Oryzias latipes: one gene and its partners. The protein of the gene in region 1 interacts with the protein of each later gene in a pairwise test. Links are inferred from orthologs where the notes say so. Each region holds a gene or a part of one and is shown in the gene's direction. Other genes may lie near its edges. The genes, in order: cops5, map2k2 and gfer.

Region 1 (4,285 bases):
TTTTCTGTTGCAAAAAAACCCCAAAATAAATAAATAAAAGGTATGAACAAGGCAATATAAAAAAAAAAATAGTGCACACAAGGACACACCTTTATGGATGCTCTATCATCAATAGGTAAGGAAAGCCCTTGGTGTTGTGGATGAGGTTCACAGGTTTTTAAATCGTGTTCCTTAAAAGGTACATGTAAGAATAAAAAATAGAAAAATAAGTTGGCAGAATGGAGAATCAGAGGTAACACAGTCAACAAAAATTCTCTTTAAATGATCCTATAATAATCGTATGATATCTGACCTTGGCTGCATGATATTTGAAGTCCAGCCGCAGATCCAGAAGAGGTTTCTGTTCCTCCATTTCACGCTCTGATACTAAGCCTCAGTTAAAACCTAGAGAGAGAGAAAAACATAGCAAATAAATAGCCAGTATAATTGGACTGATTGAAAATTAAAACTACCACAAATACTTCATCTTGTTTATGATAAGCTATATGGTTCCATATTTTGTGGATGCTAGAGTTTTACAAAATGCACATCACCTGCAAATGATGAAAAACATTCATACAGAAAGTTAGTTGTCCAAGGTCAGATTCAAGAACTTTCTCAGCATACAGGTGCATGCAAATTGAAAGTTAGGTGTTTTCCATTATAAACTCAAACAGCACAACCTGGCAGTGAACAAAGCTATAAAAATGAAACCTTAGATGAAACTCTAACTCTAAAGGATACATACTTAATTAATTAGACATTTTTATGACTATTCTGAATGTTTTCGCCGCACTAAAATGGCAACGCAGCAAGCGTTGCTATGGGCAACCGTGACACAAAGGTTGGCACAGGCTAAAGAAGTTAGCAAACACGAAACCACAAAAAACTCCGTATATCTAAAGTTTATGTGGTAATCATACAAACTTAATCGCATTTCAATAAAAATATCTTTGAAAATCCTAAACGTGCTTTCTAAGCTTTATAAGATGACAAACACGAAGTAACATTGATGTTTTACCTTTACTCTTGACCAATGACGTTCGCTAATGTGTTTTTTCGAGAAGTTTTTTTTTTTGCAGCATTAATAACTGTTATCTCCCATTAGGGTCTTTATTAGATATACAATGCATTAAATAAAAAACAAAGTTCTAAAAACAGGATAAAAAATATTCTCAAACCTGTCTGCTTTTTACAAGTCTCACCGCTAGATGCCAGTGCATCCTCAAGTGTCTGCTGACGTCTCTTTTGGACTAAACCATTATCAGAGGGGTGACAGTACCAGAATTGATGGGTACATTTAGCAGAACTTTTAACTCTTACATAAATTGTATTGATTTTTTCAATATATTATTAATGATCCATTTTAATACATAAAGATACGAAACTTCGACTTTTGTATTTTTCCAAATCAACAAAGAAAGGTTCAATCTTTCGACGTCATTGTTTTGGTATCGTTCCCTGTCATGGCTGCCGTTGCAAGAGAACGTCTGGCCCTGTTACTTTAGACGGATATACACAATTTCTTTGTTTGTGTTGTTGTCACTGACGTTCGAAACGCTTATTCTTCGTATTTTGAATTGACACTTTATCATGGCTGGAAGTAGTACAGCTCAGAAAACGTGGGAGCTGTCGAACAGCATGCAGGAAGTCCAGAGCATCGATGAAATTTACAAATACGACAAAAAACAACAACAAGAAATCCTCGCGGCGAAGCCGTGGACAAAAGAGTACTTTCAACCTGATTGACTTCATTCCTATTTGTTGTGTCGCGTAAACTAATTGTGTTTTCTTTTTCTCAAATCATTAGTCACCACTACTTCAAGTACTGCAAAATCTCCGCGTTGGCCCTGCTGAAGATGGTGATGCATGCCAGGTCAGGGGGGAACCTGGAGGTGATGGGTCTCATGCTGGGGAAGGTGGACGGGGAGACCATGATCATCATGGACAGCTTCGCTTTGCCTGTGGAGGGAACAGAAACCAGGGTGAACGCGCAGGCTGCAGCATACGAATACATGGCTGCCTACATTGAAAACGCCAAACAGGTGGGATCATGTTATTTTATTGTAAAAACATACACCAACACTGAAATGACACAGCAGCAATTACTTCTTCTTGACAGATTACACAGTTCCTGGTGGAATTGTTGAAAAACTGTCTCTTATTAAGATTTATTAGTCATAGGTTCTGTGTTCAGTATGTCAATATGTCTATTGAAGTGTTCTAATCTTTTATTTAGTTTCTATTGTCGTTATGACTGTTCTTCTTTTTTTTTTTTTGGTGGGCTACAGGTAGCCGGAATAAGTCCAGCCTGGATTTTCTTGAGTTGCTGTCCCGCTGTTTCCAGTTATCTTTGGGGATAGCAGAGCATTTATAATATTCATTTTTTTGTTTTTAAAAGCTTAAAAATAACTTCTATCCCCGACTGACCTATTGAAGTCTGTCTATTTCCTTTCATAAATAGTTTCCGTATTTTTTAGAAACTAAGCAAGCCACGTCAGATTTAGTAAAACCTTTTCATTGTATTAAACAATAAACACTTTATAATATTGTATTATAAATAATTATGAATAATTTTGTTATATTTATCTTTTTAACCCCCCAGGTTGGCCGTTTGGAGAATGCCATTGGCTGGTACCACAGTCACCCGGGTTACGGATGCTGGCTGTCAGGGATCGACGTGAGCACTCAGATGCTCAACCAGCAGTTTCAGGAGCCTTTTGTTGCTGTTGTTGTACGTATAAACTTTTATAACGTTATTTTAATGTAATTTCCTGCTAGTGGAATTTTTAAAAAATGAGGAGGAAAGTTCCTGTTTCGTCTTTAAAAAAAAAACATTACAAGAACGTAAATGAAAATCTATTAATGCATTCACTGCATGTTTTGGCATTGCACTACTGACTATTTTCCTTTTGCAACCCCATATGCTATTTACACGTCCTTTAGTTCAGCAGGGCTTCGACGCCAGGGGCGTCGTATAATTAAGTGTGTGTTTTTTTCACACTGACAGCTGCGGGAAAAAGGCTCCTAGTGAACTGATTCCAGTGGTCTCTGGAGGATTCCGACCTTTGACTTTGTTTTCCTGTTTTACTGTATCTTGTGTCCTACAGATCGACCCCACTCGGACTATTTCTGCAGGGAAAGTCAATCTAGGTGCCTTCAGAACATACCCAAAGGTACAGCAAAGACCAAGAGAAACATGGTGTTATGACTTATTGAAGTCATAAATTAAATTTTAAGTTCGAATCGTTGATGTTAGTTTTTTTAGGAGGGATCTGAATAAATATTTGTCATAAATATACATCAGAATGTCTTAATTTGTTTACTTGTTAATGATTAAACAAATGTGCTAATTCTTTTTTTTTATTTTGTATTATTTTTTAACATTTTCCTTGTGGATTTTCAGGGTTACAAACCTCCAGATGAAGGACCATCAGAATATCAAACAATCCCGCTGAACAAGATAGAAGACTTTGGTGTTCATTGTAAACAGTGAGTAAATTTAAAGCACTAAACCACTCTTAATAAATCAATCAATCAAACTTTATTTATCAAAACTTTATGTATCAAAGATGCATATATTTAACATGCTCCTGAATTATCTTTTTTTTCAACTCTTTATGATTGTCTCTATTCAGATATTACGCCTTGGAGGTGACTTACTTCAAGTCTTCTCTGGATCGAAAGCTCCTGGAACTCCTTTGGAACAAATATTGGGTCAATACCTTAAGTTCCTCCAGCCTTCTTACGGTATGTAAGCCACCTCAAAACTCAAAATGTTCACTAATTGTTTGACATTTTGATTTATGGTTAATTATTACTCTATAACTCATTCAGACATGGAGTCAACATGTTGTGATGTGTTGATTTATTGCTGCTTTTTAGCTGGCCCTGCTTGTTTATTGTTTTTAGTAATAAGGTCTTTGTGAACTTTGGAGCAGAAGAAGATGATGGGTATTAAAGTTGGACTTGACTCCACTCATCCAGAAGCCCCCCGCCCCTCGAGCACAGTTTTTTCTAAAGACTGAAAGGCCGTCACATGAATTTGCATTGTGGTCCTGAGCTGGGTTAAATAGACACCAGGCTTATCTAAACAGTTCACTCGCTGGCATTCTGGATGAAGATGTATTGACTAGATGTCAAGAAGGAGCTGCTCAGTAGGTGACGGGCTTTGTCAGTTGCTACACTGTCACCCTAGTCAGGCCCCCCCCATGGCATTGTGTTTTAATTACCTGCTCTACTATAAACACAGCCTCACCTTAAGCAAACTTCTCCATGACTTCTTTTCCTTCGGGACAGCTCAGAG
Region 2 (4,157 bases), on another chromosome or scaffold:
CGCCGCCGCTGTGGCCAACATGTTCCACGTGTGAGTCTGTTCAGGACGATGAAACTGTAACATAAAGAAATGTATTCTAACAGCTGTTATTGACGTGTTGAATTAATAAAATCTGTTCTTAAAAAACATCTTCGCCTCTTTTCTGGAACTGTGTGACCTGAGTCTCAACTTCTGCTCTGGGAGGAGCTGCCCACCTTCAGGAGGCATTTGCTCCTACTCCAGTGGTTCCTTCTCTTTTTTTCTGTGTCTCCTCCATCCTAAAGAAGCGTCAGCTGTGGTCTATCAGGTTCAGACTGAACTGCTCTAGGTTTGCTTCACTAAACGGGTGGTTTTGGTTGCAGCGCTGACTGTTCATCCTCTAATTTATCTCGGATGAAACGCCGCCGTCTTCTGAAAACCTGCTGAGACGTTTGCATGATGGCACCAAACTTCAGCAGAGATCTGCTCTTTGGAGATGTGTGCAGCTGAGTCTCTATGAAAAACACGTTTGATGAATCTTCTGAAGTTTACGTTTGAAAAGTCAAAGTCTCCAGAACTGCAGGGTTGATGGGCTGAAGCCGAAAGGCAAACCGGTCAATTAGCTGAAATTACATTTACACAATAGATGATTTTCTGCATTAAGATGCCAGCACCCCTTTATAGAAGTGTTTCTATAGCACAATTAAAAATAAAGTACCAGAAATGCTTATTCGTTATCAAAATGAAGCTGCAAAAAGAAAAAGCAATCCACCAAACTTCTTTTTCTTCTTCACTGCTCATTCTGTCACTTAATTCAAAGGATAAAGAAAATATTATTTGACATTTCATTTTCAAAAGGTTCTCTGGTAAATGTGTAGCAAAATATTTGCAGGGTGGATGTTAAAATGAAAATGCAATCCCCCCTTTGCTTATTTGTTTAAATAATGACACAGAATAAGTGGTTTTTATGTTGAAAATGAAAAAGCATTTTGAAGTATTGATTTTTCATTTTATTTTTGAGTCATTAGATGTAGTTACCTTTTGAAAATTAAAAAGCATATCTGTAAATCCATTTTAATTGTCAAATTAGACATTTCTAAATGAATTTTGCTACACATTCGGTCAATATCATTTGAATTGAGTAAGAACATGCAGTGTTGAAGAAGAAAATGAAAAAGAATTTTGGTGGATTGCTTTTGAGTCAAAAAATGCAGCTTCATTTTGAAAATGAAAAAGCATTTCTGGTTTTGACGATTATTTTTGATTATGCTACACAAATGCTTCCATATATTCTGTGACATTCTTTGCATGACTGCACTTCTCTCTTTGGCCGCGGGATGGCGGTGTTTCCCAAGAAGCCTGTTTGTCTGCGGACATAAACGCGCAGAAAAGCTGCAGTTTGGTGTCCGACCAAACCCCTCCTCAGCGCCGCGCGAGCCTTAGAAAAACCTTTATGTCCCTGCACCCGCACTTCGACTTCCACTGGGATTCTGGTAATCTGTCACTCAGCGGGTTCGCCGCTGTACCACAGCCCCATCGCCGTAGGCAGCTGCTGCTTCCTGTATTGAGGCACCGGGGTCAGGAGCGGAGCCACGCGCGTTCAGCAGTCGTTCCTCGCGGACTGAAACCAGGACGAACTACAGTTTGGAGGCTGTGGTGAAGTGGGCGCCGCCTTTTCGAACCTCGGCCGCAGGTGACTCTTGGACGCGGGGGGAGCTGCTGCTGCGTGTCGGGACTCGGACGTTTGTTGAGGGACTGGCGCGACCTGCTAGCAGCTAATGGCTAGCAGCAGATAGATATCTAGAAAATCCAGATCCTCCGCGGTTCTCAGGAGAACGGTTCTCCTGATGGTCGCTTTCTCTGAGCTACACTGACATGCCCCCCCCCTAACGGAAGTGAAAGCTAACGTTAGCCAGGAAACTTATTAGCCGCTCACGAGCGCCGAACAAGGAAGAGGTGCCGCGCGGCCGCACTGACTGTTCGCTGCCGGAAGGAACCGTGCGGGAACGATTCCCTGAAATGGCCCCCAAAAGGAGACCCGTTCCCCTGAACATCACACCCATCGGGGAGGGACAGACCACGTCCAACACCATCGATGCTGCGTCCGAGTGAGTCCCGGGGGGGGTTAACAATTTACATTTTTATGCAGATCATGCAGTACCCTGAATCTGCAGGGGGCACTCTTTTGCACAGATCTATCATCTGTAGGGGGGTGTAAACTGTCTCTATCTGTACTTTGACCCCCCCCCCCCCACACACACACACACACCCTTCCCCAGAGCCAACCTAGAGGCCTTACAGAAGAAGCTGGGAGAGCTGGACCTGGATGAACAGCAGAGGAAGCGTCTGGAGGCCTTCCTCACCCAGAAGGCTCAGGTGGGAGAGCTGAAGGACGAAGACTTCGAACCCATCTGTGAGCTGGGGGCAGGAAACGGGGGCGTGGTCAACAAGGTCCGCCACAAGCCCTCGGGTCTCGTCATGGCCCGCAAGGTGAGGACCTCATCTGACGGTTTGGTGAAGAAGGCAATTCTGGAATCTGAAGCCTGACTTTCTCCCAAAGCCCGCCCAATTTTTTCTGCACTGCAAAGTTACCAGCAGCTGCTGCAGACGGGACACAACAAGTCTGCTGCAGCTGCTGCAGGCGGGACTTGACTTGTCTGTGGCTGTCGCAGATGAATGTAACTGATCTGTAGTGGCAGATAAAACACGACCGCTGCAGACGGGCCACGACTCGGTCTGCGCCTGCTGCAGACGGGACACGACTTGGTCTCTTGCTGCTGCAGATGGGACAGGACTTGGTCTCTGGCTGCTGCAGACGGGACACAACAAGTCTGCTGCAGCTGCTGCAGGCGGGACTTGACTTGTCTGTGGCTGTCGCAGATGAATGTAACTGATCTGTAGTGGCAGATAAAACACGACCGCTGCAGACGGGCCACGACTCGGTCTGCGCCTGCTGCAGACGGGACACGACTTGGTCTCTGGCTGCTGCAGACGGGACACGACTTGGTCTCTGGCTGCTGCAGATGGGACATGACTTGGTCTCTTGCTGCTGCAGACAGGACACAACAAGTCTGCTTCAGCTGCTGCAGGCGGGACTTGACTTGTCTGTGGCTGTCGCAGATGAATGCAACTGATCTGTAGTGGCAGATAAAACACGACCGCTGCAGACGGGACAGGACTCAGTCTGCGCCTGCTGCAGACGGGACAGGACTCGGTCTGCGCCTGCTGCAGACGGGACAGGACTCGGTCTGCGCCTGCTGCAGACGGGACAGGACTCGGTCTCTGGCTGACACTCACGAGATCCTCAGACTGGTTAGACGTTCTTCCTCAGGCTGTTCAAGGCCTCCAAGTTCCATCAGAAGACTTAGTTTCCTGTAGTTGTTAGTGGAGGGGCGGTGGGTCGTGTTGCTGAATCTGCTGCCCCCACAGTGATGCACGCCCCCTCAGAAACCATCCAGACGTTCCACTGAGGTACTGCAAGTGTCTATGGTCCTGCAGACAACTCCCACACTGTTCCACCTCTTCCCTCCTTTAGCTAATCCACCTGGAAATCAAACCTGCCATCAGGAACCAGATCATCAGGGAGCTGCAGGTGCTCCACGAATGCAACTCCCCCTACATCGTGGGCTTCTACGGGGCTTTCTACAGCGATGGAGAGATCAGCATCTGCATGGAGCACATGGTGAGACTCTGAGCCTCCAGGATCCCTGAAGACGTCCTGCTGGTTGAGGTTCTCATCCACGTCTTCTGTCTCCACAGGATGGTGGATCCTTGGATCAGGTCCTAAAGGAAGCCCGGAGAATCCCTGAGGAGATTCTTGGAAAAGTCAGCATAGCGGTAAGAGCCTGTGGCTGGGGGGGGGGGTCTGTTCCTCTGGAATGGGTTTGTTCTGCTGCTGGATCTTCTCTGCTGTGTCGTTGGCAGGTGTTGAGGGGGCTGGCTTACCTGCGGGAGAAGCACCAGATCATGCACAGAGGTAACCACGCCTCCAACACCGACAAACATCATGTCTGCTCTTCTGTCCTCATACGCTCGTTGGCTCCTCCTAATATGACGGTAGAACCATTATCATGATGCAACCGGAGCACCACCGCGTGAACAGAACCAACGGTCCAAATGTCAGATCACACCTTTGAATCTGGGAGGAAAACAGCGGCCAGACGTTTGAGATGGAGGCTCCTCTTAGGAGGAACCTCCCT
Region 3 (2,920 bases), on another chromosome or scaffold:
TTGTAAAAGTAAGTGTTACTAAATTAAAACAGATTTAATTTATATCAGTTCAATTTGTGAATTAATGGCTGAGGTGACTACACGGTGGTGCAGTGGTTGGCACTCTCGAATCAGTGAAAGGCCCGCGTTTGAATCCCAGCTCGTACCTTTCTGTACGGAGTTTGCATAATCTCCCCGTGTATGAGTGGGTTTTCTCTTTGAGCAGCTCTTCTACACCGCACGAAAACAACAAGAAGCAGCTTGTGTTAAATGCTGAATTCTCAGTCAGCCTTGCAGTTTTTGTTGTTATGAGACATGTACTACTTAGTCTTTGCTTGGGATGGGTACCGAGTCGAAACTCTGTGACACATTGCTGCCAGTACCGTATAAAAACGCGGATTGTGGTGCCTTGTAAGTGGGCTCCAGACGAGAACAAGGGAGACGTAAATTATATTGTGATGTATTTTGTATTGGGAGAGGTGTATTGTGCATCGTAACGCCAGACTCTTGCTAATATAATATACACCCCTACTAGACATATGTATACACGTCAATGGCAAACTGAGTAACTTTAGTAAATACATACCCATTTTATCATATTTATAACTTACATGAGACTAAAAAGGTGAGTAATAATGTAACAATCCCTTTTCTAGTCATTAATAGCACTTGGAATTTTTTTTTCTTTAAAGGCAGTTTGTTTACTCATTTTATATGAAGATTATTCCTTTATTGTGTGACATTGATATTTAAATGTAACACATATAGTGTAAGATTATAACTACAAGTATTTTTTGCTTCTAAAACCAAACTTATTTCTCTCTAGTTTTCAAGACTGAGCATTGAAGTTCCTCAAAAGCAGCAGATTGTTGTAGCAACTTGCCAGTACACCCCAGAAAGAGCCTCAAAAATGCGCAGCTGGCTCAGTTTTCTAATGTAGCTACGTGACAACTCTTTTTTTACCTTTGTTTTTCTGTGTCCGAGAAATTTCTTTCTCGATTTCTGCAATTTTTTCCAGAATACCCATGTTGTTGTTCAGGTCGGCTGCGGTTTCTCTGTCAAAACAGAAGAAATAAATGACAACAAAAACGTGTCGCCACTTCTGGTTAGCTGTGTTAGCAAACCAAACTAAAATAAACAGAAGTTGAAAAAAATTATATGACAAAATCTACAGACATTTGAAGGCTTGTATGAGCATTTTTAAAAGGCACAAACAGTGGTAAATATTAACCTATAAACGATAAGGGGAAAAAAGGTACTAACAGAGGAGAGACTGCTGCACGCAAGTAAAACCGGCCGACCGGAAAACGGTCCTGCGCTCTAAAAAGTCCGGAAGAAACAAAAGATCTTGCGAAACTTTCACACCTACGTAGCTACCTTAGTCGACACCGTCTGTTCAATGACAGAAATGTCACCAAATTACAATTAGTCTTTGTGTTGACCTAATTCAAAATTCTGGCAACTATATATTCCAGATAAGTATAAAAACAGCGGTCCGGTGAGGATTGGAAGTTAGGTAATTATTCACGGAGCGAAGATGGCTGCGCCACCTGACAGCCGTCAACCTTCAGTTCCCAACCTTAAAGAGCAGGAGCAGAGCCGGGATGGGAAAAAGAAGCCATGTAGAACCTGTACGGACTTTAAATCGTGGATGAAGCAGCAGAAACAGCAGTCCGTGGCTTTACATCATGTGAGTCAAAATTGCTAAAACTTTATTGATAAAACAAATAGTCCATTGGGCTGACCCAGTTGTTCGTTGTTTTCAAAATGGTGTTACTGTGTAATACTTTAGGCGAATCCTGTATGTATCTGTGTCCTGCAGGAAAGCCAGGCTGCAGAAGTGGAGCACCAAGACCCACAGTGTCCCCTGGACAGGGAAGAGTTGGGGCGAAACTCTTGGTCCTTGTTGCACACGATGGCGGCATATTACCCTGATCAACCATCATCGACTCAACAGCAGGAAATGAAACAGTTCATCAACCTCTTCTCCCATTTTTATCCCTGTGAAGATTGTGCAGAAGACCTCAGAAATAGGTAGATACCTTAAATGTTTATCCCAATTATTTTTAGTTGAATACTCAATAAATTTACAATATCTTCTCTGCAGATTGAAAACCAATCAGCCGGAGACCAGCAACCGCAGCACACTCTCCCAGTGGCTCTGTCATCTTCACAACGACGTGAACGCACGTCTGGGAAAGCCAGAGTTTGACTGCTCGCGCGTGGATGAGCGATGGAAGGATGGCTGGAAAGATGGCTCCTGCGACTGAATGAGCTGAAGGATTCAGGGATGCAGCTGCTATGAAGGAAAAAAAACAACTCCGGACCGCAAACCTCCTCAGTAGCTTTTGTGTTTGTGAATCATGTGACTATTTGCTTTGTGTTTAGATGGCATAATTATTGTTGCTTTCAAATAAAAGCCTGGACAAAAAGAATGGAGTCCTTTTTTGATTAAAAACCCATCCATCTGATGTAGCCAGAATTATCTTTTAAGGAAATCCAGTTTGTAGATTGACTTAATTTGTGATCAGTGGTAAAAAAGAGGTTGGGCCAAAATAACACAGTATTCTAAATGTAACATTTACTTCTTATGAAAATTATTTTGTTTGTTCTCCTAAACATGTACTTATCTAAATGAAATCAGGCTGCCATTGAAGTGCAGACTTAACATAAAAATGTGAAAAACTAAAGCATTTTTAAAACAATACCTTCATTTCATGGGCTCGTAAGTAATTGACTTCCATGCTATTGCATGGGCAGGTGTGGGCAATTCCCTTGTCATGTCATTATGAGTGAAGCAGATAAAAGGCCTGGAGTTGATTGGAGGACTCGTGCTTGCATTTTAGATTATGCTGTGAACAGACAACATGTGGTCAAAGGAGCTCTCAATGCAGGTGAAATGAGCCATCATTAAGCTGAGAAAACAGAAAAAAAACCATGT

The links.
Region 2: the proteins of cops5 (region 1) and map2k2 interact in a two-hybrid assay, tested with the Homo sapiens proteins (2 studies listed by BioGRID and IntAct). The link is inferred for Oryzias latipes from reciprocal best matches to the Homo sapiens genes COPS5 and MAP2K2.
Region 3: the proteins of cops5 (region 1) and gfer interact in a two-hybrid assay, tested with the Homo sapiens proteins (2 studies listed by BioGRID). The link is inferred for Oryzias latipes from reciprocal best matches to the Homo sapiens genes COPS5 and GFER.

What each region holds. Positions count from the first base shown.
Region 1 is NC_019878.2:17,008,817-17,013,101, forward strand, and holds the start of cops5 (COP9 signalosome complex subunit 5), read left to right. Parts: upstream 1-1,423; 5' UTR 1,424-1,572; coding exon 1,573-1,709; intron 1,710-1,789; coding exon 1,790-2,024; intron 2,025-2,584; coding exon 2,585-2,713; intron 2,714-3,089; coding exon 3,090-3,155; intron 3,156-3,385; coding exon 3,386-3,471; intron 3,472-3,617; coding exon 3,618-3,729; intron 3,730-4,285. Other genes in the region: cspp1 (centrosome and spindle pole-associated protein 1), read right to left, coding at 1-4, 90-170, 293-352. UniProt on the Homo sapiens protein: Probable protease subunit of the COP9 signalosome complex (CSN), a complex involved in various cellular and developmental processes.
Region 2 is NC_019862.2:7,813,805-7,817,961, reverse strand, and holds the start of map2k2 (dual specificity mitogen-activated protein kinase kinase 2), read left to right. Parts: upstream 1-1,313; 5' UTR 1,314-1,977; coding exon 1,978-2,066; intron 2,067-2,237; coding exon 2,238-2,448; intron 2,449-3,493; coding exon 3,494-3,640; intron 3,641-3,717; coding exon 3,718-3,795; intron 3,796-3,882; coding exon 3,883-3,934; intron 3,935-4,157. UniProt on the Homo sapiens protein: Catalyzes the concomitant phosphorylation of a threonine and a tyrosine residue in a Thr-Glu-Tyr sequence located in MAP kinases. Activates the ERK1 and ERK2 MAP kinases.
Region 3 is NC_019866.2:17,934,986-17,937,905, reverse strand, and holds gfer (FAD-linked sulfhydryl oxidase ALR), read left to right. Parts: upstream 1-1,329; 5' UTR 1,330-1,516; coding exon 1,517-1,669; exon of another isoform or gene 1,670-1,672; intron 1,673-1,801; coding exon 1,802-2,013; intron 2,014-2,086; coding exon 2,087-2,249; 3' UTR 2,250-2,414; downstream 2,415-2,920. Other genes in the region: drg2 (developmentally-regulated GTP-binding protein 2), read right to left, coding at 943-1,006.